Lonchura striata: one gene and its partner. The protein of the gene in region 1 interacts with the protein of each later gene in a biochemical or structural test. Links are inferred from orthologs where the notes say so. Each region holds a gene or a part of one and is shown on either strand. Other genes may lie near its edges.

The links. The genes of interacting proteins can lie anywhere in the genome.
Region 2: the proteins of UBR5 (region 1) and PCK1 form a complex in vitro, tested with the Homo sapiens proteins (2 studies listed by BioGRID, with this or other methods). The link is inferred for Lonchura striata from reciprocal best matches to the Homo sapiens genes UBR5 and PCK1.

Annotation. Positions count from the first base shown.
Region 1 is NC_134603.1:20,946,620-20,956,985, reverse strand, and holds the start of UBR5 (E3 ubiquitin-protein ligase UBR5), read right to left. Parts: upstream 4,222-10,366; 5' UTR 4,181-4,221; coding exon 4,119-4,180; intron 1-4,118. UniProt on the Homo sapiens protein: E3 ubiquitin-protein ligase involved in different protein quality control pathways in the cytoplasm and nucleus. Mainly acts as a ubiquitin chain elongator that extends pre-ubiquitinated substrates.
Region 2 is NC_134619.1:3,044,491-3,055,306, forward strand, and holds the start of PCK1 (phosphoenolpyruvate carboxykinase, cytosolic [GTP]), read left to right. Parts: upstream 1-5,797; 5' UTR 5,798-5,903; intron 5,904-6,191; 5' UTR 6,192-6,231; coding exon 6,232-6,455; intron 6,456-7,828; coding exon 7,829-8,010; intron 8,011-8,607; coding exon 8,608-8,811; intron 8,812-9,144; coding exon 9,145-9,332; intron 9,333-10,220; coding exon 10,221-10,383; intron 10,384-10,502; coding exon 10,503-10,727; intron 10,728-10,816. UniProt on the Homo sapiens protein: Cytosolic phosphoenolpyruvate carboxykinase that catalyzes the reversible decarboxylation and phosphorylation of oxaloacetate (OAA) and acts as the rate-limiting enzyme in gluconeogenesis.

The DNA of each region.
Region 1 (10,366 bases):
GCATTATCAGGAGCTCTCTCTCCCTCCCCGTGCATGGCTGCTGCACACATGTGGGGCCAAGACATCAGCTCCACATCGCTGCTGGCTCCCTGCACAGCCACACCACACCCTACAGCAGCTCCTTCCAGCAACATCTGCTTGAGATTTTTAACAGATTTGCTCATCAGTAAGTGCAAGGGGGGGTGGCGTTTGCCAGAGCAGCAGCCACATATCCACAGATCACTTGCACAGCACCTTAAATTGATGTGCAGATTAAAAAGGTATGTTCTTGCTAGCAATTTTTTCCACACAAATTCAGAGAGTGCTAACAATGCAGGCAATGCAAAGTACACAACTTAAATTTTCAGTTCAGGCACGGCATAAAGTAAGTAGCATTCAAATAACAGAGACAGGCACTGAATGTATTACTAAGAGAAAACAAAGTCATGTAAAAAACGAGATCATCCTTTCTTCCCCCAAAGCTGACTACATACAGACTCACTGAAGCTTCAAATTAACTTTTCTCAGGTGTGCTACTGATTTCAAAGATGTCACTGCCAGAAAACTTACTACATGACACTTCTAAACCCTCATATTCAAAATATCCACACTCTATTTAACCAAATTCATTACATCTCATCTCCAGGAAGAAAGAAAAGACCACACTAACACTGTATCAATGACCACTTCAAAAATTACATCTTACTCTATGCTAGGACTTAAATGGTCTAACTGACAAGAATTTTCTTAGTATAAGGTAAAAACAAAGTCAAAGGTTTGAGATTAATCCTGTCTCTGAAGGTCAGTTCATGTATGGAAAGTCATTTGTGTAAGGTGAAAGAGTCCCCTTCTCCTTCCCAGAGCAGCAAGTTAAACTGCTCCTGTGAGGTTTCATAACAGTCAAGAAAAGGCTATTTGTCATGGTTACACCCACTTCCTAACCCAATAAAAAATTAAGAAATATACTAAGTATTTACTAAGATTAATTTATCTATGAAACTGTGTCAAACTTCCTTCACAAAGCACAAAGTCTCCCACCCTGAAAGAGGCGGATAAGCTACAAAATATACCTAACACCCAATGCAACAGAGGCTGGATATCTCTTTTTCAAATATTAAAGCCATTAATTATTTACATCCCAAATACTCTATAGAGTTGTTTCTCAAACTGCAGGCCATACAGAATTTTTCTTCCATTAAACTCCTCATATTCAGTTTGCAGACAACAAATTGCTTGGGGAAAAAATTCCAAGTTACCTGTCTTCCTTAATAAACCTGCCAGAAAAACCTTAATTACCTCAGTTCATCCTAAACAAAAGCTTAGGCTAGTATCCATTTCAAAAGATGAATCCTAATACAACTACAAAATTAAGTATGACCTTGTCCTCTGTGAACTCTCTTCAGTGTCATCAGCTCCAGACCTCTGAGTGAAGAAGTCAACACTGTTTCAGCTTATTTTAGAGAGGACTAATAACTACCATCAAGGTGCAATATTAACCTACATTTTCAAAAACACTAGCTAAGAAGAATTTTCAGATGATCAGCAGATATGCTCAGGAGTCCTCCGATTATTTGTGGTTCTACAGTTACTATCTCCTCTTTTCTTTGAAGTGTTTTGCCATTCTCACAGCTGCTGCATGAATAAGTGTGACAACAAATTACACAGAAAACCTAACAAAAACTGTAGAACAAAATGACAGAAAACGCACCAAACCAAACTGGAAAAAACTACTTCCTCACATTTTTTCAACTACTTAAGAGCACAGCAATACTTCAGGAGAAAGATGGTTTCCAAAAACCACTGCCTTTACACATCTAGACTATTATCTAGGTTATTAAGCATAATGTATCAAATACTTGGTTACAAAATTCAACAGTGTCCTGTACTCTGAACACACAGGGATTGCGACAATAAATTCATTGGGTTTTAAGTGATTACTCCTTAGATGAAAAACACAAATCCATTATTGAAAGCATACAATACAGAAGTATGATCCCAAAATCTAATTTTGAGAAACAACTATCATTCAGAATACAGACAGAAAAAAAACTTGACTGACCACTGACCCAGACTCAAAAAAGCTTATAAAGTGAGAGAGAAAAGAAACATCACAGAGACACGAGACGTTCCAAGATCCTAACTTCTATGAGTATGTGTATGAGAATTTATTAAGCCATCTAGATCTTTATCAACATTGACAGAATAGAAATATGCAGCAATGCTACTGATAAAATTGAACTGGCATTTCCAGCACATATGTGTGTGCCTCAACTCTATTTATGAATCATTCTGATTTCACTGCATTACAAGTTCTGATACATAGCTACTGCCCTTTTAGTAAAATTACATTTATGAAGCCAAAATTTCTGACTTGCAGCTCAGATCAAGGAGTCACTTGATTTTTCAGAACAGTCACTACTTAACAGCACTGCTGCAGCTTTCTCCATATATTAATTACCACATATTTGGAAGGTTCATGTATCAAAAAGTAGGTGTAGAAGCTGCTGCTGTGTTAAGAAGAAAAAAAAAATTTAAAAACCGAGAAAGCATTATGAAGACTGAAAGGGACTCACATTTTATATCAATGTGTCAACAGAAGAGGTAACATTAAAGAAAAAACAGATGAGCTCTCTCACTTGGAGCAAAGTGTGATAATTACATGCTAAATGTTTTCTAAGGGCCAACCAATATAAAAAGAAAAAAAAAAAGAAAACCCACTGGGGTCTTTTCAAGCTCGAAGGCCTAGATCTTACTCCAAACCAAAAGAGTGCAAGCAATAAGTCACAGAACAGCATCATCTCTCAGTTTGTCACTCTAAAGGAAGATGGTCTATGCCAAATTTGAATGCAGTACCTATGGAGAAAGCAAATCAATTCTGTAGGAATGGCTAGGCCTCCTAGGAAGCAGGATTCTGTAAAATGCATTATCAGGCTATGGAAAAAAATACAGTCCACAGTAACACACTTCAGGTTTTGGATCTGTTTTATCTTTTCTTTTCCCTGTATAAACATATTGGCTATGTAGTTAGGCAGAAATTCTGCCTTCAAAACTACCTATTTTCCTTATTATACACGCTCAAACCTCACCTGCTCCAAAAGGCATCTCAGCAAAGACTGTTCTTGGAGAAGTGGCCTAACTACAAAGAACTGTGGAATGACCTGGACCCTGACCTACTGGTACTATCAAAGCCAGGAGAGTATAAGCAAGAGCTTATGCTTTTTAAGACTTAAAAATACTTAAATATTGTTTAGAATCATTAAATAACATTCGTATTTAGTGTAAAAACACTTTAGGTTTCTATCTAGCGATGATTAAAGATCACGATTTATTCACACATAAATTTGTGAGAAATTAAACATGAAGTTTTTAAGAATTCCTCTATAAAAGAGCAGAAGTAAAATTTGCAAGCTATTACACATACCATTAACAATTGCTATAGAAGAAATATTTGACAGCCACACAGAGCTGTCAAATAAACGTCAAGCAGCGAGGAAAATTTGTTTCATGGATTCATTTTCTCTCAAAGCACTCCAGTTTCTCCCCAGCCTGCAATTTCTCTCCCCCAATCCTACATAAAGTTAGCTGCGTGGTTTCCAGGCTGGCAGCTGTCATCCCCATCTCCGCCAAGCCGCACAACATCAGTGATTTGGAGATCGGGCTTCCTTTTGTATCGAACACCCGGTGCGTGAGCAGGGGAAGGCAGCGCACACCGGCGCTGCGTGTGACAGCGCTGCCGCCTTTATCCCCGCTCCCGTCATTCTCTCACACGCCGCGATCCCCCATCCGCATTGTCTGCCTCGCTCCATCCCTGGTTAATATGGACGCGTTCTCGCTCCTCGGCCGGGGATCCCCGGGAACCCGCTTCCTCGGCCAGGGAGCGCCGGCAGCCCCGTTCCTCGGCCGGATGCCGAGATTCCCGTGGCCGGCCGGAGCCCCCGCCGGGCCCGCGGCGAAAGTCGCGGCCCCGGCGCCGCGCGGGGCGAACCGCGGCGGCGGCGGCTGCCGGGAGCGGCCGCTCGGAGCGGGGCGCGCCGGGACCCGGCGGAACCGCGGCCCGGCGGGGGGGGTCGGGCCGGCCCCGCTGCCCCGGAGCCCCTCCCCTCGTCCCCGGGGGGCCCCTCCCCTCCGCCCCCCCTCACCGGTCGTTGAGCTGGTCCTCGGTGCCCGGCAGCGGGTGCACCACGAAGTGGATCGAGGTCATGTTCCGCGCCGGTGCCCCCCCGGCGGCGGCGGGAGGCGGGCGGGCGGGGGCCGGGCACACAATGGGGGCGGCGGGGGAGGGGGCTCTCGGCCTCCGTCCCTCCCCCGGGGTGGTTCGGGGCCGCCCGGCGGAGTCTGGGGCTCTCGGCGGCCGCGGCGCTGCGGGCGCGGGGCGGGGCGGAACGGCCGCAACGGCGCCGCTCGGAGCTGGGCCCGCGCCGCGCTCACGCACGCGCCGCCATCTTGGCTTCCAGCGGGCCCTTCTCCCTGCCCCTCCCCCGCCCTCCGTGCGCCGCGACAGGGAAGGGGCGGGGCGCGACCGGCGCGCGCGGCGGCGCGCGTGCAAGCCTCGTGCTGACTGGCGCGCGCGGCTCCCTCCCCTGCCACTAAGCGCGCCGCCGATTGGCCCGGCGCGCCGCCCTCGCGGCGGGCCGCGGTGACGTCATTGCGCAAGAGGGACGTAAAGCACCACGTGCCTGCCCCTGGCTCTCTTCCCCCCCCCGCCACCCCCCTCCCCCAGCCCCGGCGGCTCCCGGCGGGCGGCGCGCGCGGTGCCCCTGAGGGGCGGGAGCGGAGCCGGCGCCGCCGGCCGGAGCGCGGAGGGGCGGGAGGGCGCCGCTCCCGGGGCTGCTCCCGGGCGCTGCTCCCGGGCGCTGCTCCCGGGCGCTGCTCCCGGGCGCTGCTCCCCGGGGCTGCTCCCCGGCGCCGCTCCCCGGCGCCGCTCCCCGGCGCTGCTCCCGGGGCTGCTCCCGGGGCTGCTCCCGGGCTCCGCTCCCCGGGGCTGCTCCCGGGGCTGCTCCCGGGCTCCGCTCCCCGGGGCTGCTCCCGGCGCCGCTCCCGGGGCCGCTCCCCGGGGCCGCTCCCCGGGCGCCGCTCCCCGGGGCTGCGCAGGGATTTCCCCCAGTGCCCGCAGGTGCTTCAGGCCCAGCGCCCGTCGGCACCCGCTCTCGGCGGCCCGTGCTGACTCTCTCCTTTCCGGTTGCGTTTCTTGTTGCATTTCTAGTCAAGTCTTCCCTTCAGAAGCCGGGAATTTTCACCACTTTTCAGGGAGGTTCACAGAATCATTAGGTTTGGAAGGGACCTCTGGAGATCGTGCAGATCTGCCCCTCTGGCAGGGCAGGGTCATCCGGAGCAGGTGGCACAGGAACGTGTCCAGGTGGGTTTGGGATGCCTCCAGAGGGGGAGCGACATCCCTGGGCAGCCTCTTCCGTGCTCTGACACTCTGCATAAAAGCCGCTCTACCTTACGGTGAGGTGGAACTTGTATTTCAGTTTAGGGCCTTTAGTCCTCGTCCTGTCGCTAGGCACCAGCAAAAGGCATCTGGCAACATCTTCCTGACACATTCCTTTAAGATATTTATATCTTTGATGCGGTCCCTTTTCAGTCTTCTTTAGGCTAACCATTAGGTTGGTGGTATAGAAGAATAAAAAGGTACCACGCTGTGAAACTCGGTGCCTCTGGCCTGGCATGCCTTCCCTCTGGACAGGATTCAATTGAATTGTTCCACACCTTGCCAATGGAGCTGTTTTTAACAAATTAACATGTCAATGTACCGAAGGTTGAGTAGCAAAGTCAATAAAACAGCCATTTGTTTCTATAGAAACTAAACACCTTAGCAGGGATTGTACCAAGCTTTGATTTTGGTGATTTTTTTTTTTTTTTAACTGGAATTTACTGCTTTTGCAGCCTGCTCTTCTTGTTTTCGGGAAATCAGAAATTTTGAAAACTGACTCAGAATTTTTTAGCATGTGAGAAATGATGGTGATCACATGATAGCAGTGCCAAAAAACTTTTAGAACCTAGTTCAGTGAGTTAGAACTGATTTCTGAGTCTGTATAATCGTAAACACTAAAAATCTCAGTTTGTTCCCCACTTTCAGACCTTAAGGAACTTTGTAACTTCCCATCTTCCACTCCCTTTTCTTCCTAGCCTCTTTTTCCAGTTCAGCTGAAAGGAGCTAATCCAAGAATAGGCTGATGCAGCTGCTTGCTGCCCAGAGATTTGGGGAGTTTATGAAGCTTTTTTTCCCCAACTATCATTAACATGAGGAAATGTCATAAAGAGAAGAAATACTCAATTGATGCATTCCAGATTTCTTAGATGAAGTTTCTCCATATGTTCTGTTCTCAAGTGGCAGTGATACTCAAATGCCTCCAAGAATACAAATAAGTAATTTAGCTTATCCTGGGAGGGAAATACTAACAGGTTTCTGGAAATCTATGAGGCGTGGAATAGGACTCCTTCTGTTTGGTAGTGAGACAGTGCAGTAGCTGTGCTTCTAAAAACTAGTAGATCCATGTTTATGTTTTTACATTTTTTCCTGTTAGAACAGAGCTTAGCATTTATTTATTATTTAGTTCTGTGTTTGACTGTACCTAAGTTTGTTAGGTTTTTTCCTGCCTTTTTTCTTCCCAGCATCAGTCTTTATGCTTTCCCTGAAAGTATTTGTGGTGTTTATCACAGTGATTCTTGTGAGCTGTGTTTACCTCAGTTATTTTATCAGAATCAATTGCATGTTTTGATAAGCACCTGAAAAGCCTTGCTTCTCCATTTGATTTTTTTTTCCCATGCAAAAAAGAAAAATATTTCCCTTTGGCCATCATTTCTTTTTTCCATTGAACAGCAGGAAGATGGGTCACGTGAATTCCTGTGGAGCCCTTCTGAATACTGTCAAGAATTTTTGGTAGGTTTTGGGAAATTCCAGATAATTGTGTTTGCTTTTCTGTTCAAGATGTAGCTCTCCAAAGCATTTACATTTCCAAATGCTATGATTTGTTCATTGGAATTCTTCAAGGGGATGGGCATAAGGAAGAGATTTCCATTGCTCTCTCTCTTTCACCATTAACACACAGCCTTTAAAAGTTAATGGGTTATGGAAACTGGATAGATACAGGAAAGGAGTTGGGAAAGCCCTAAGGGGGTGCACATCTGTTAGGCCTCAGCATTCTGCGGCTGGCCATTTCCAAGCAATCCTTTTCTGTAGCTTTATTTACATTGTGTCTGAACCCCGGTTTTAGCCATTGCTTGTGGCTTTGCCAATGCAAACACTCAGCATGACCAAAATTTTTTTAAAAATTAAAACAGATTCCACTGGAACTGTATTCGGAGCCAGAATAAACTTGAGTAGTGCAAATGTCAGCTCTTGTTCACACAAAGAGTTTACACTGCTGCCTAAAATGGCAACTAAACATAGGTGAGAGGACACAAAGCCAAGTGCTCAACCCATGATGTTATTCTGACAGGAGTTTGGAATATGGAGGAAGTTCCAGCTCAAGGATGTGAGGCTGCATCTTACTGGTTGACTTTTGCATTACCAGGAAGTGGCAAGCGTTGAATGCCTGCTTTGGCCAATTGGTTTTGGAAGATAATTACGGGGGGTTACAGCATGTTAGCCCTTTGATTATCTGAAGTTGACTTCAAATAGAATTGCTTTCTGATTGCAGAGCTACTCATTCTTACAACCTGTGTTTTTTAAGTACTTCAAAACAGAAGATTTGTCTGAAGTGTTCTCTCAATTGCCCCAGTCTTGGATGTGAGCATCCAATACTGAAATGATATTTTGAATTCATGTTTGCCAAGTCATGAAAAAATCTTTCTTTACAAAATATAACTTTAAGACGACACTGTATGTCTTGGCCTAAGAAATTTGGCTGCCTACGTTGCAAAGCTCCTCCATGTGTAGATAGTGCTATTTTCAGGTCTACAGGTAAAGCAACAGCTTCCTTATGAAGGTGCAGCTATAAATACACCAACACCCAACCTGCAGAACAAGTCTCTTGCTCATATATTTTCTGTGCAAGAGTTTTGTCAACTTGGAAATACCATACAAAATAACTCCTGTTATATCTGCTGTCATATCTGAAATTCTGTTTTGATGGGTCAGTGTTTCTTGAAGTTTTCAGACTGGTAGAAGCACAGAGATCCAAAGAGGGATCTCTGGAGGTCATCTTATCCAGCCTCCTGCTCCACAGATGTTCAGTTCCAGTGGATCAGGAACTTTCACATTAGAAAAAGCTTCTCAATAACATGCACTGGGACAGATTTATTCCCAACTGCTTGCTACACAGCAGCTGCAGGCCTGGCAGATTACACAGAGTCTGTTCATTCTGAGGGGAGGGGACCTGCTAAAGATGGGAGGATTGGGGTAAGAGGACTGGAATGGACTTTGCTCTGTAAACAGTGGGAGCAGATGCCAGCAGGTGTAGCACAGGCCAATGGCTGATGGGATGTGCAGAAGTCAGGGAAGAGGCCCCTAGTGGAATTAAAGGCTTCAGGCAGTGAAGGAGAGCTCCGGAGTGCACTTTCCATGCTGTTAACTCCAGATATCAACAGCTGACATCAGGCTGGCACCGTAAGATTGTATTTTGCTCTGGAAGAAATGAGGCCAGCATTCCTAGAAATGTCAGGCAAGATTGCTGTGCAGAAAACTGCAGTTTCTAGATTGTTCCCAAGGCTGAAAAGAAGTTCATATAATGAAGAGCAAAGTACATGGCAACGTTTCCATCACCTTGTGTCACAGACTGAAGCAAGGTAACACTTTCATAGCAGAGCAGATGAAAACTCATTTTCCATGGAACTTTTCTTACAATGGGTTTTTCAATGTCTAGTAGTGCACACATGATTTTTCTCTGCCCTGTGATTCTTCAGCAACTAAAAAAGTTACTGAAGCTCTGCTTTGATCTTTATCTTTCCCCTAGCAGGAGGACTTAGCTGGTTCTCCTGCTGCCTCTCGAATTCTTGGGTCACTTAAGCTAGCAGAAACCTCTGAAACCATAGATTTGGCTGAGACTCAGATATTCAGAAGTGAATATGGTGAGCTTTGGCACACAGCCTGGACTAAAATACATTATTTAAAATCAGGCAATTATGGAGGTGCGTAATCTCCCTTCTCCTCCCTTGTCTGATCTACTCTGCATTTCCTCTTTTTAGCTCTGCAACAAAGGGCCCCAGTGAAGGGACAGAAATTAGGATTCTGCAAGAAATTTAGCCTCCAAGAAAGCTGGAGAGGGACTTTCTACAAAGGCACATAGTAATGGCTTTACTTTGGAAGAGGGCAGATTTAGATGAAAGATAAGGTAGAAATTATTCAGTGTGAAGGTGGTGATGCACTGGAGCAGACTGCCTGAAGAAGCTGTGGATGTCTCATCCCTGGAAGCGTTCAAGGTTGCATGGGGCTTTGAGCAACATGGTCCAGTGGAAAGTATCTCTTCCCATGGCATGGAAGTTGGAACTAGATGTTCTTTAATGTCCTTTCCAACCCAAGTAACGCAAGGTACCTATGATCTATTTCTCCTTCCTTTACAGTATGGTTTGCTTTCTTTGTTTAGTGGTGTTGGCACAACATGTCTGGGATCAAAGTAAGCTATCTGCCCAGTGTTTGGTGGAGTTTGTAGATCCACCAGTAGCTGGTAGACTGAGATTTTGACACTCATTTGACATTGCATCTCACCATGGTTGTCACCTTACTTGCATCTTTCTCTTCCAGCTCCTGTAGAGACACTTCTGAACATCTATTCCTTCTGACTGGACATCTAGGACATCTTGTCCAAGCCCCACCACAAAGTTTACATGATCACTTCCTTATGTGTAGACCAGACCTGTCCAGTGACAAATGCAGCTGAATGTGACGAGGAGCTCATGAGGCATCCTGGGCACTGTGCAGGAGCTGAAGGAGGAGGCTGTGGGCAGCCTCTTGTGTGACTGTCCCTGTAAGGTGGCATGGGCACAACTGGCGTGCACAGTGTACTTGGTGGTGTTATCTCTGAGACTTTGTGTCACCTGGGCAAGTGTTCCTGTGCAGGCAGCTGTAAACCAGAATTGTGTTCTTTTGTATCAGAGCAGCTTCCTTTAAGTTCCTGGTAAGGAAAGACAGAATTTGTTTGAACTGTGGCAACTTTAAGGTGAGGGGTTTTCAGGGTTCCCTAGGGAGTTGCCTTCTTATCTATCTGCAGGCTGTCAAGGTGATTAACTAGGACAAGAAAAGGTTTGTTTAGTTTTTTGTCCCCTATTAGTTTCATTTGATTGGGTTAGCTACTCTTGTCTTAACCATATTTACCTTCAAAGACGGCAGTTTTGAAAAAAGTCATCATTATAAAATGTGTGGGTGAAATACATTCATTCACAGCAACAGTTCTGTGTGGCCTTGATTCAGGTACTTCCTTCTGAAATTATTGCAGAGTAAATTTGT
Region 2 (10,816 bases), on another chromosome or scaffold:
CCTACCCAAGTAGGAAGCAGGAAGTCCTTGACAGCTGCAAACACACACCTCTGTGGTAAAGGGATTTCACTCCAGAAAGGGTAACCATTTTTATTTGCAAACTGGATTTGGAGCCATCTGGGCTTTGTGGCACTGAGCAGAGCAGGTGCTGAAAGGCAAAGGGAAACACTAATCTTTTGCTGACTGGTTTTCACTCTGGGTAGTACAGTTTGTCCCCTTCTCTCCTGGCTGTGGTTCTGCTGTTCATCCAGCAAAAAAACCCTGCAGTAACCATGCAAAAATCATAATTCTGTTGTGGCTTGGGTAAAATCAATCAAAGACTTGGTGGGCCCAAACTCTCGAAATGACTGAGACCTAAAGCAGATGAGAAGAGCTCCTAAGTGAACAGAATTACACATACCTGGCCACTGGTCAGGTACCAGTGGCTACAGAGCCCATTACTCACATAGTCACACTGAAACTTGACAGGGGTTTTTTTTTGGTTTTTTTTATGACAATGTTCCTTTAGGAAGAGTCCCCAGATTAGATTCACACCTCAAGAAATAGTTCTAGAGGGATGACGGCTTATCAAAATTGAAATTACATGTCTCAATCCCATCTCCAGAGCTGAACCTGTAAAAGTGAGTTTAAAAATAAAGTAATAATAATAACAATAATAACTATTTCATCTGCCAAAGAAGAACAACAAACAAGAAACCAGTGTGCCCATGGTGTAATGTCAGCCTTGGCATGCACTGTGTCACAATCAGGACTTTCCCTAAAATATAACTCAGGATTGAGCACTTGAGCTGTTACTAAATGAAGCATCAAAGGTTGGTGACTTTGTTTAGAGACTTTAAAATGCACCAGTGCATCTTCCTGGCTGCTGAAATTTGCTTCCATGTATTTTGAGAAATGTCTGTTGTCAAGCTGAAAATGTTGGGCAGGTTAATGGAAGTACAGTCTAATCGTGATAAATCTGTGTATTTTTTCCCACTCCTCCACCATCAGAACAAGCCACTTCATTTTGAACATGTGCAAAAAAAATGACATTTTGTAGGGATCCACAAACAGCATAGCTTACAATCTGCCCAATCCTGTGTGGGTTAGGGCTGGAACGGAGGTGAGCAGGAGGTGAAGCACTGTGTCCCCAGTTTGCTGCTACCTGTTGTGGCTGGTGGCAGGGGCTCGGTCTCACGGTTCACGCAGCACACGTGGAGAAGAGTGCACAGTACATGTGAAGAAGGGTGCACAGCACATGTGGAGAAGAGTGCACAGCACACGTGGAGTGCACAGCACATGTGGAGAAGAGTGTACAGCACATGTGGAGAAGGGTGCACAGCACATGTGGAGAAGAGTGCACAGCACATGTGGAGAAGAGTGCACAGCACATGTGAAGAAGGGTGCACAGCACATGTGGAGAAGGGTGCACAGCACATGTGAAGAAGAGTGCACAGCACATGTGGAGAAGAGTGCACAGCACATGTGAAGAAGGGTGCACAGCACATGTGGAGAAGAGTGCACAGCACATGTGGAGAAGAGTGCACAGCACATGCAGCAGGCCCCCAGCCCGCTGCAGTGGGTCAGTGCCCAGGGCCCCCAGCCCTCCTGCAGTGGGTCAGTGCCCAGGGCCCCCAGCCCACTGCAGTGGGTCAGTGCCCAGGGCCCCCAGCCCACTGCAGTGGGTCAATGCCCAGGGCCCCCAGCCCTCCTGCAGTGGGTCAGTGCCCAGGGCCCCCAGCCCACTGCAGTGGGTCAATGCCCAGGGCCCCCAGCCCACTGCAGTGGGTCAATGCCCAGGGCCCTCAGCCCACTGCAGTGGGTCAGTGCCCAGGGCCCCCAGCCCTCCTGCAGTGGGTCAGTGCCCAGGGCCCCCAGCCCACTGCAGTGGGTCAGTGCCCAGGGCCCCCAGCCCTCCTGCAGTGGGTCAATGCCCAGGGCCCCCAGCCCACTGCAGTGGGTCAATGCCCAGGGCCCCCAGCCCACTGCAGTGGGTCAGTGCCCAGGGCTCCCAGCCCTCCTGCAGTGGGTCAGTGCCCAGGGCCCCCAGCCCGCTGCAGTGGGTCAATGCCCAGGGCCCCCTGCCCACTGCAGTGGGTCAGTGCCTCAGAGCCGCCTGCAGGAGCGGGGCTGTGGGGCGGAAATATCGCCCGGCGCTGCGCAGGGTCTGGAACAAGCACTTGGCTCGCTCACAGACTCTTTTGCAACTGCAGACAATTTGCACGGTTCACGTTTTCTTTTGGAAGTTGAGAGAATGATCCCTGCCCTGCTCTCTCTGAGATTGCAAGGGCTGCCCTTGGGTCTGGACTCTGTGGCATCCAGTCCAGCAGCTGTCAGAGGGTGCTCGGTGTCATCTGAGCAAAACACCACAGAAATAGCAATCCAGAGGCAGTGCTCTTCCGTTAGTAGAGCAGCTCAGAGAATCTTTAAAAAACCTACAATTTTATAGCAAAATACCCAAGTGACAAACTCCTTGGAGGTGACAATATGTACTAGAATTAGCAATGGGAGGGAAGTAGAATTTCTGAGTATTATTATATGCCATTAACAACTTTCAGATCTCACTGTGAGAGCTTTGTTGCACTTTGCTTTGTAGTGATGAGTTAAGCTTCCTAATGACACTTTTTCTGAGCATTTAAAACCTTTACATTTTTTGAGTCCTAGTAAATATGTGAAACCTGAAGTGCTCAAAAACTTGTTTTGAGCAACCTGAATAGTGTCCATCAAAGCAAACATCCTAAACCCCCTCCTTTCAAGGCACTTGTTGAACGCTGTCATCTTGAAATGTCAGATTCACACACATTTAAATGATTTGACAGCTTCCAAGAAGGCACCTGATAAGCATCACATTCAAGTGTCAAGAAGCACAGAGAAAAAGTGCCAAAAAAAGTTCAATCAGAAGAAATCGTATCAGCTATTAGATGAGCATTATAATGCAGTTATTACTAAAAAAGGCTTCTCATTTAAATGGAAAATAAACTTTACATTAAAGTAAACTCTTTTTTTAAAGGCTTTACATTTCCCCATACTACCTCTCACGTTTGCCATTTGTGAAATCTTCCAGAAACTGAATCCAGACAGCAGCACCCACTGGTACTGGGTGACACCTCAAGACCACTGTAACTGAGCCATTGGAAGTGCTACATCTGGGTTTTTATGTGGGAAACAGTGGGTGTTATGAGAATTCACTATCTTCACATAAAACCTTTAATGCCTTCTGTTGGCTTTCGAAAAGCTGAATCGCTAAATGAGAAGATTCTTGAAAAAATATCCTGGCCTTGATTTGCATATGCTCCAGTTATTTCATTGCACCAAATACTATGTGTGTTTTATATAGGGGCTTGAGGCTTACTGTGTGTTTGTGATATGCTTTGAGATCCTCTGATGGGAGGTGTTACCTAAATACAAGTAATTTGATGCTGAAGTGTCTAGAATTCCCAGTGGACATCTGTACTCGAGCCCTGCTGCCATCACAAATGAAAAACATTTGGAATCCTTAATGTGATTTTTAATGGACATATGTTCATAACACAGTGCCACCAATTTGGCATGTTTAGTGTCTTCTCAAGAGAAGCCCACAGTTTGTATAGCAAGATTGTGGGAGGTTAGGATTGCAGTGTTAGAAAATTTGCACAACACCTGCCTGACTGTAATTTAATTGGCAGAAATTAATGCTCTGGGTTTGGGAATTTTTTCCTTCTCTCAAAACCTAGAGACACTAGGACTAATTCTGCTGTATTACACTGTTGTATGTAAGCTTTTCTTCTGATTTTATTTGTGCTGCAATATGATAATTTCCTGCTCTACTGTCTTCCTGACAACTGGGCATTGCTGGCTTACTCTCAGTTATTTATATGTACACTGACTTACCTAGCCAGCAAAAAGCATTCCATTTTTTTTTACTTCTCTAAAAAAGAGCTCTGCCTAGTATTATTAAAGATAATGCTCCATTATATTTTTAATGAAGGTACTTTATGACATGTTTTAAAAGGAAAATATTTCTCATCAGCTCCACCAGTGACACAGTATGTGGACTCTGAAGACGAACACCAGCTTTGCCATTATTAAATTGGCTTTGGATTTTATCTTTGCTTATATCACAGCCCTATCTGAAGCAGGCTTTAACAGCTCTAATCCCACCAGATTTTTGTTTTCCTTTTCAGGAATGTTTGGTCTTGCCATGCAGCAAGGACAGCCCCTCTTACTTCACTATTTTCTTCCCTTATTTACAAAACATAATAAAAGGCTTTGCAGGGAAGATAGAGGGTACAGTCCCAGGGGATGTCCCTGCAGTAGGAGAGTCAGATCTGCAGTATTTTAGACTTGCAGGTGGGAAGGTGAGCTACAATCCTGATCCCTGCTGCTCTGCCAGCCTGGCCTTTTGTGGGTTGTAAGTCACTGCTGGCTGCCCCATCAAGAACCTTGCTGGGAACATCCAACTGCCTCACAAACCTGAGCAACAGCAGCGTTGTGAACACCCTTTATACAAGATAAGTCAATTTTGTTGCTTTTCAGAGCTTCCTTAAACTTAGCTGGGAATCCCAGATTTCCCTCTTCTGCAAACTACCAATGACAAGCATGGTAAAAACCCCATCAATACAAAAAAGTGACAAGTTGGCACAAAAGCATCACCTTATCCAGGCTCCAGATGCTTTGCTAAGCCTGGGTCTAAATAGAAGGAGAGGAAATGGCAGCAGGGTTATTTCTACAGTTCTGTTTGTCTGAAATACTTCAGTCTTCACACACCCAGACTGCATGGACAAACAATTGTCTAAAATGGAATAGGGGAAGCTAAAGACAGGCCTGCAGAAACAGAGACAAGAGCTCAAAGTGTCTGAGATCACACTCAAGTGTCTGATATCACACTGAGAATTCAGAATTATGAGTAGTAGTGGCTGTTGATATCAGATACTGCCACGACTGACACAGATACAGACTCAGCTCTGTGTATGTGCACCTTCACCCACAGAACAACAGTGTGCAGCCCCACTCCACAGCAGGTCTGTGTTTTTGCTCCGAGTACTAATTTAGGGATGGGTTTATATTTTATGATACTTCCCCCCATAAAACTCCAGGTAAAATAAAGCACAATATTTGAAAGAGGAGGTTAATTATTGCTGTTCTGCCTCTTCTGCAGTTGTAGCAATAGGAAATAACTGTTCCGTTTGCAAGAGCCTAAAACAAGCCATAAAGAAAAACTTCCTTGCCTGCACTGAAGGAACCCCAACACTTAGATTTATGTTGCTAGGGATTTTTTTAGAACTGCATAGACACAAATAAGAGCTGTGGGCCCTATGTAGTGGTTATTCAGGCCTGTCGGTGCTCACTGATGAACTTTATACCCAGATCAGGTAATGTTCCCAATGTGAGTAAACACTTCTTGGACGAGCCTCCACTTCACAGCCAGCTAGTGACCATCTGCCTACAAAATGTGCCAGCTGTACTTTGCCTCTGTGCATGACCTCCGTGTTCCTGGTTCCAGAAACTCTTTGTACTCAACCTTTCCCACACACACCAAGAAGTTATGACGTCTTTGATTTCAAAGCCAAAATGGATCAAAGTTTGGTTAAACTGCTAAATTTTGTAAGTGCTTCAAAACAGCAAATCCAGGGGCTAAGAACCTCCGCTTTCAACATTCATTAATCAAGCCTGTTAAATGATTACCCCGCCAGGGCTGCTTTGTTGACAACTCTGCATGATGACAATGTCAGTGGCACTGTCCCAAGACACATGCAGTGATGATGTAAAGGACAAGCCTCCTTCACCCCAACTGGTGGGATGGACACTACCATGAAGAATATTTAAGGGAGGAGGTCCATCCTTGGAACCAGCAATTGCAAGAGAGCTCCAAAGCAAGCGAAACGGGCTCAACTGAAAGCTACAGCAAAATTCTCTCTGGCATCCAGCTCCAGCTTCCATAGACAGTAAGTAGAATGGCCTCTATTTTTCCCATGTTAAATTAGTAGAATGGTCTCTATTTTTCCCATGTTAAATTAGTAGAATGGCCTCTATTTTTTCCACGTTGAAATTAGCAAATTCCCTACCTTGATTTTAAAGCAGTACATAATCAAGTCCATTGCAAATTCTTCGAGTTATATGCTGTTAGGCTTTGTGATGCTGGTTAGAACGTACAGTAAGCTAACACACCTAATTATTTGATTTCGTACAGTAAGCTAACACACCTAATCTATTTGATTTTTGATTGTGATCAGTATTTTACAGCCATCAACGAGATCCACAACAGCTTCAATAATGCCCCCACAGTTGAAAACTGACATGAGCGTCATGCCCAAGGTTGTCCAGGGGGATTGGGAGAGTCTGCCTCCAGAAGCGAGGGATTTCATCGAGACCAGTGCCAAGCTGTGCCAGCCTGAGTGCATTCACATCTGTGATGGCTCAGAAGAAGAGAACAGAAAACTTCTGGACATCATGGTACAACAAGGCATGATCAAGAAGCTGAGAAAGTATGAGAACTGGTGAGTAGCCTAAACGAAGTCAAGTATCATCTCAGAATTGGAAAATTCATTTTCTATCCTGTTTACTTAAAAAACTTCTTATAACTCTCCAATATTTGCTTTCCATGAACATTTTGGAACTTTTGCTTACATAGTGAAATACTCAGGAAAAGCAAACTTTTTCCTCTAAAAATTAGCATAAAGCATATTATTCAGTTGGACTATCAACTGTACATTTTCTCTGTTGATTAGTTACATCAGGGAACTGGAATAATGTCATGAGACTTACGCAACTTATCATTAACAATGGCTAAATATTATTGAGCAAATCTTCTTTTGAAGAATTCTACTATTTTAGCCAATTAGTTTATTCATCACATCTTTTTTGTGGCATTCAAATAGGTCTGTGGGTGTTCAAATATTATTCAGTACAGGCATTATTCATATCGTGCCAATGAGCTTTGACTCTAATGTATTCTGCAAATACTTTTTTCAAATATTTCATAATTTCTCCCAACAAACTGAACATGAAAAGAGAATATTAACAACAAGTGCATACTCGAGAATTACTTGCCAACCACGAGATCTTCATGGGAGAAATCTGCAAAGACTTTTGAATAACTAAGTGCAGGAATTTGGCAATCTGTTTGCAGACTATTTGGGAGAGAAAAGGGCAAGATTCACCAGATAAATTATTCATTGTTAATTATATGCTTAGCTGTAGTGATGATGGTTATGACAGCACAACTAGAACATTTTTATACTCGTGGAAAATTTCGATGCAGAGAGGTGAAAATGTAAAACAATCCCCTCTATCGTAAATAGATGGCAAAAAATTCCTCTGAGGGGAAAAAGAATCCCCTTTAATGAACTCCTTCACTTTTAATGATCGTGCTTATACTCAGTATTTGCTTTGTGATGCCTCTAATTTAAGGGACTATGCCAATCCACTAAGCTGGGTTCTGATCCCTTTGGCACTTATACCAACACTTAAACTACTTTCCTTGGCATCCACTTAGCTTGAAGCATCATTTTGTGGTCCCCATACAAAACAACTTCACACTGATGAGAATGAAAATTAAACAAGATTAACTTTTCCCTGAAAGTTAACAACAGACAATAAGGCTGAGATAAGAAGCAAAGAAGTATTAAACATGTAACAAAAATTTCCTTGGCCATATAATTTTTTATGATTTCTGGAAAGTCTTAAAGCAATTTTTTGAGATAATATATCTGACTGATTTTTGAGATTATCTGTTATACTGCTTTTTCACTAATTTTTGTCTTACAAAGCATTGTTTTAGTAGCTTTTTGTGCTAAAGTGGACCCACAGAAGGGTAAAAAGGCTATATTGATAATAAAAGTCTAATTTCCTGATTTTTGGTGAAATGCAGCTGGTTGGCTCTCACTGATCCAAGAGATGTGGCAAGAATTGAGAGCAAAACTGTCATCATCACTCAAGAGCAGAGAGATACCATTCCAATTCCTAAAACTGGAGCAAGCCAACTGGGGCGCTGGATGTCTGAGGAAGATTTTGAGAAAGCCTTCAACACCAGGTTCCCAGGCTGCATGCAAGGTAGGCAAGAAGAAGATAATTGACACTGAACTTTCAGCAATGCTGAGACACTTACTGCTGCAAGTTACTGTAATCTTTAAGGGACAATTTGAGCTGAAGATTTAGCTTTACGCCCCCAATAGTCACTCCACAGGTTTCATGCAGATCTTTCCCATAGACCCAAATACCTGGGCAAGGAAAGTCCTCAGTTTCTTTCCAGCACTCTTGTTTTCCTAAAGTGACAAAGTACAAAAATTCGTGTGACTTGGTTCAGGAAGTCACACAGCAAGTGAGGAGCAGATAAGAAGTGAGATGAGGATGAAGGGCCTCCCATCCATAGCAATAATTCCAGGTTCAGGGATTTACACTAACAGGGAACTTGGCCTTCACCTCCCCTTACTCCTGGCTAGACAATCTGTCTGAACTGCTGCTTTCATCATTTAAGATAGAACTTCTTGCTACACAATTAGACAAACAGAAAGCTGCAGCTCTTTAAACATCATCTCACAAGACAAACAGCTTTTAAATAACTGAGAAACAGCCTCCATGTTTATAAAGGTTACTTCAAATGTTCCTTGTTTTGCTCTTAGTCACATCTTGCTACTCCCTGTTTTCCAGGACGTACGATGTATGTCATCCCCTTCAGCATGGGGCCTATTGGGTCACCTTTGTCCAAGATTGGGATCGAGCTGACAGATTCACCCTACGTAGTGGCCAGCATGAGGATCATGACACGGATAGGAACAGATGTTTTGAAAGCCCTGGGCAGTGGGGAGTTTGTAAAATGCCTTCACTCAGTTGGATGCCCTCTGCCGCTAAAAGGTAAGAGCCATTAAAAACCCCAGAAGCCATTAAAAACCCCAGGAAATTCCCAGGGCTGTGTTTTGGAGATGAGTGCATGTCCTCTGCATGTGGGACACCCTCACCACAGAAGACTAGGCTGATTCTGTAACAGCACTAGGTTCAAAACTCAGTTAAAAGAATCAAAGCTCAGTGAGAGTTTGATGGAAAGGAGATCATTATCCCTAGTACTTACCAGGGATTTCCTTGAAGCATATGCTCTGGGTTGCTGTCAGAAGCTCGATGCTGATGAAACAACAGCGTGATCAAGCATGGAAATTGCTGCATTCATGACTGCAACATTCTGTTCTGCAGAGCCATTAATCAACAACTGGCCGTGCAACCCGGAGCTGACGCTGATTGCTCATCTCCCGGATCGCAGGGAGATCATTTCCTTTGGCAGCGGCTACGGAGGAAACTCCTTGCTGGGGAAGAAATGCTTTGCTCTCCGGATTGCCAGCAGACTGGCCAAGGAGGAGGGCTGGCTCGCAGAGCACATGCTGGTAAAAATCTATGCTGTTAAATCTTGTGTGTTTGAACAGCCTTTAAAACCTCAAATTAGAGCCACATAAATCCGTCACCCGTCTGGCCATCAATGGAATTAGTCTCATATGGATAGTCCTGTAACTTTAGATAGGAATCTGCCACATGCCAGGCTCCTGAGGAACAGAAAACTGCTTGCAAGGCCAAGTACTAAACATTGAAAATAGGACCTGTCATGGCATAGAACAAGCAAGGTTTGGAAATTCTGAGGGTGACTTCTTATAGGCAGCTTTGTGTACTTGAGCAGAGCCTGAACATCATCACTGGGCCAAATTATAAAGGGGTCTATGCACTCAAAAACCTGCAAATACCAGATTTTCTAAGGGTGTTCTGCTGTGTAACCTTCCTGGCTTTAATTTCTGCTATCCTTTAAACATTCTACCACCATAAAATACTACTGAAACAAAGAATTTCAAAGGGCATGGGAGAACAGCCTTAGAAAAAAAATATCTGTGGTTGTTGAGAAGAGCAGGAGTATCCATGCACAAAGTGCTTTCATTCCACTCATATACAGCCAAAATAATATTTCCTGCTTTTCTTCTGTATTGAGAGAGAAACATAGCAAAATAAATCAGCAAAATAAAAATAAATGTTTATTATATGCAGACCTAACATTAAAAAAAAATAGAATAATTTCTTAGAGATATTCTAATGGCAAGATGAGTTGACTCTGATTTTAAAAATACAGCTTGAGTTATTTGTCAACAATATTATGCAGTACTTCTTCTGTAGGAACAAATGTGCATAATTAAATATTTTATCATTTCCACTTGCTGGGAGACAATCTCCTAAATGAAAAGTGCAAGAAAAAAAGACTGTGTTTAACAGTTGCATTAATTTTTCTATAGATCCTGGGAATTACCAACCCAGAAGGTAAAAAGAAGTACTTTGCTGCAGCATTCCCTAGTGCATGTGGAAAAACTAACTTGGCTATGATGAATCCAAGCCTGCCAGGATGGAAAGTTGAGTGTGTGGGTGACGATATTGCCTGGATGAAATTTGATGAACAAGGTATGGAAATTAAATTGGAATGTTTTGCAGGTTGCTGTAGGTGCAGTAAGATGTGCTACAAACTTCTGGATAAAATTAAATCAGTATGGTTTACTTATATTTTATCATTTAACTTCCAGGCAACTTAAGGGCAATCAATCCTGAAAATGGCTTTTTTGGTGTCGCCCCTGGAACTTCAGTCAAAACAAACCCCAATGCTATTAAAACCATATTCAAGAACACCATCTTTACCAACGTGGCAGAAACCAGTGATGGAGGGGTTTACTGGGAAGGCATTGATGAGCCCCTGCCAGCTGGAGTGACAGTGACCTCGTGGAAGAACAAGGATTGGACCCCAGACAACGGTACCTGACCCACACAACAGCCCTCTCTTTGGCTTTCTTTGAAATTAATGAACAAATTCAAGTTAACTCTGCCGTCATAACCTTTATGC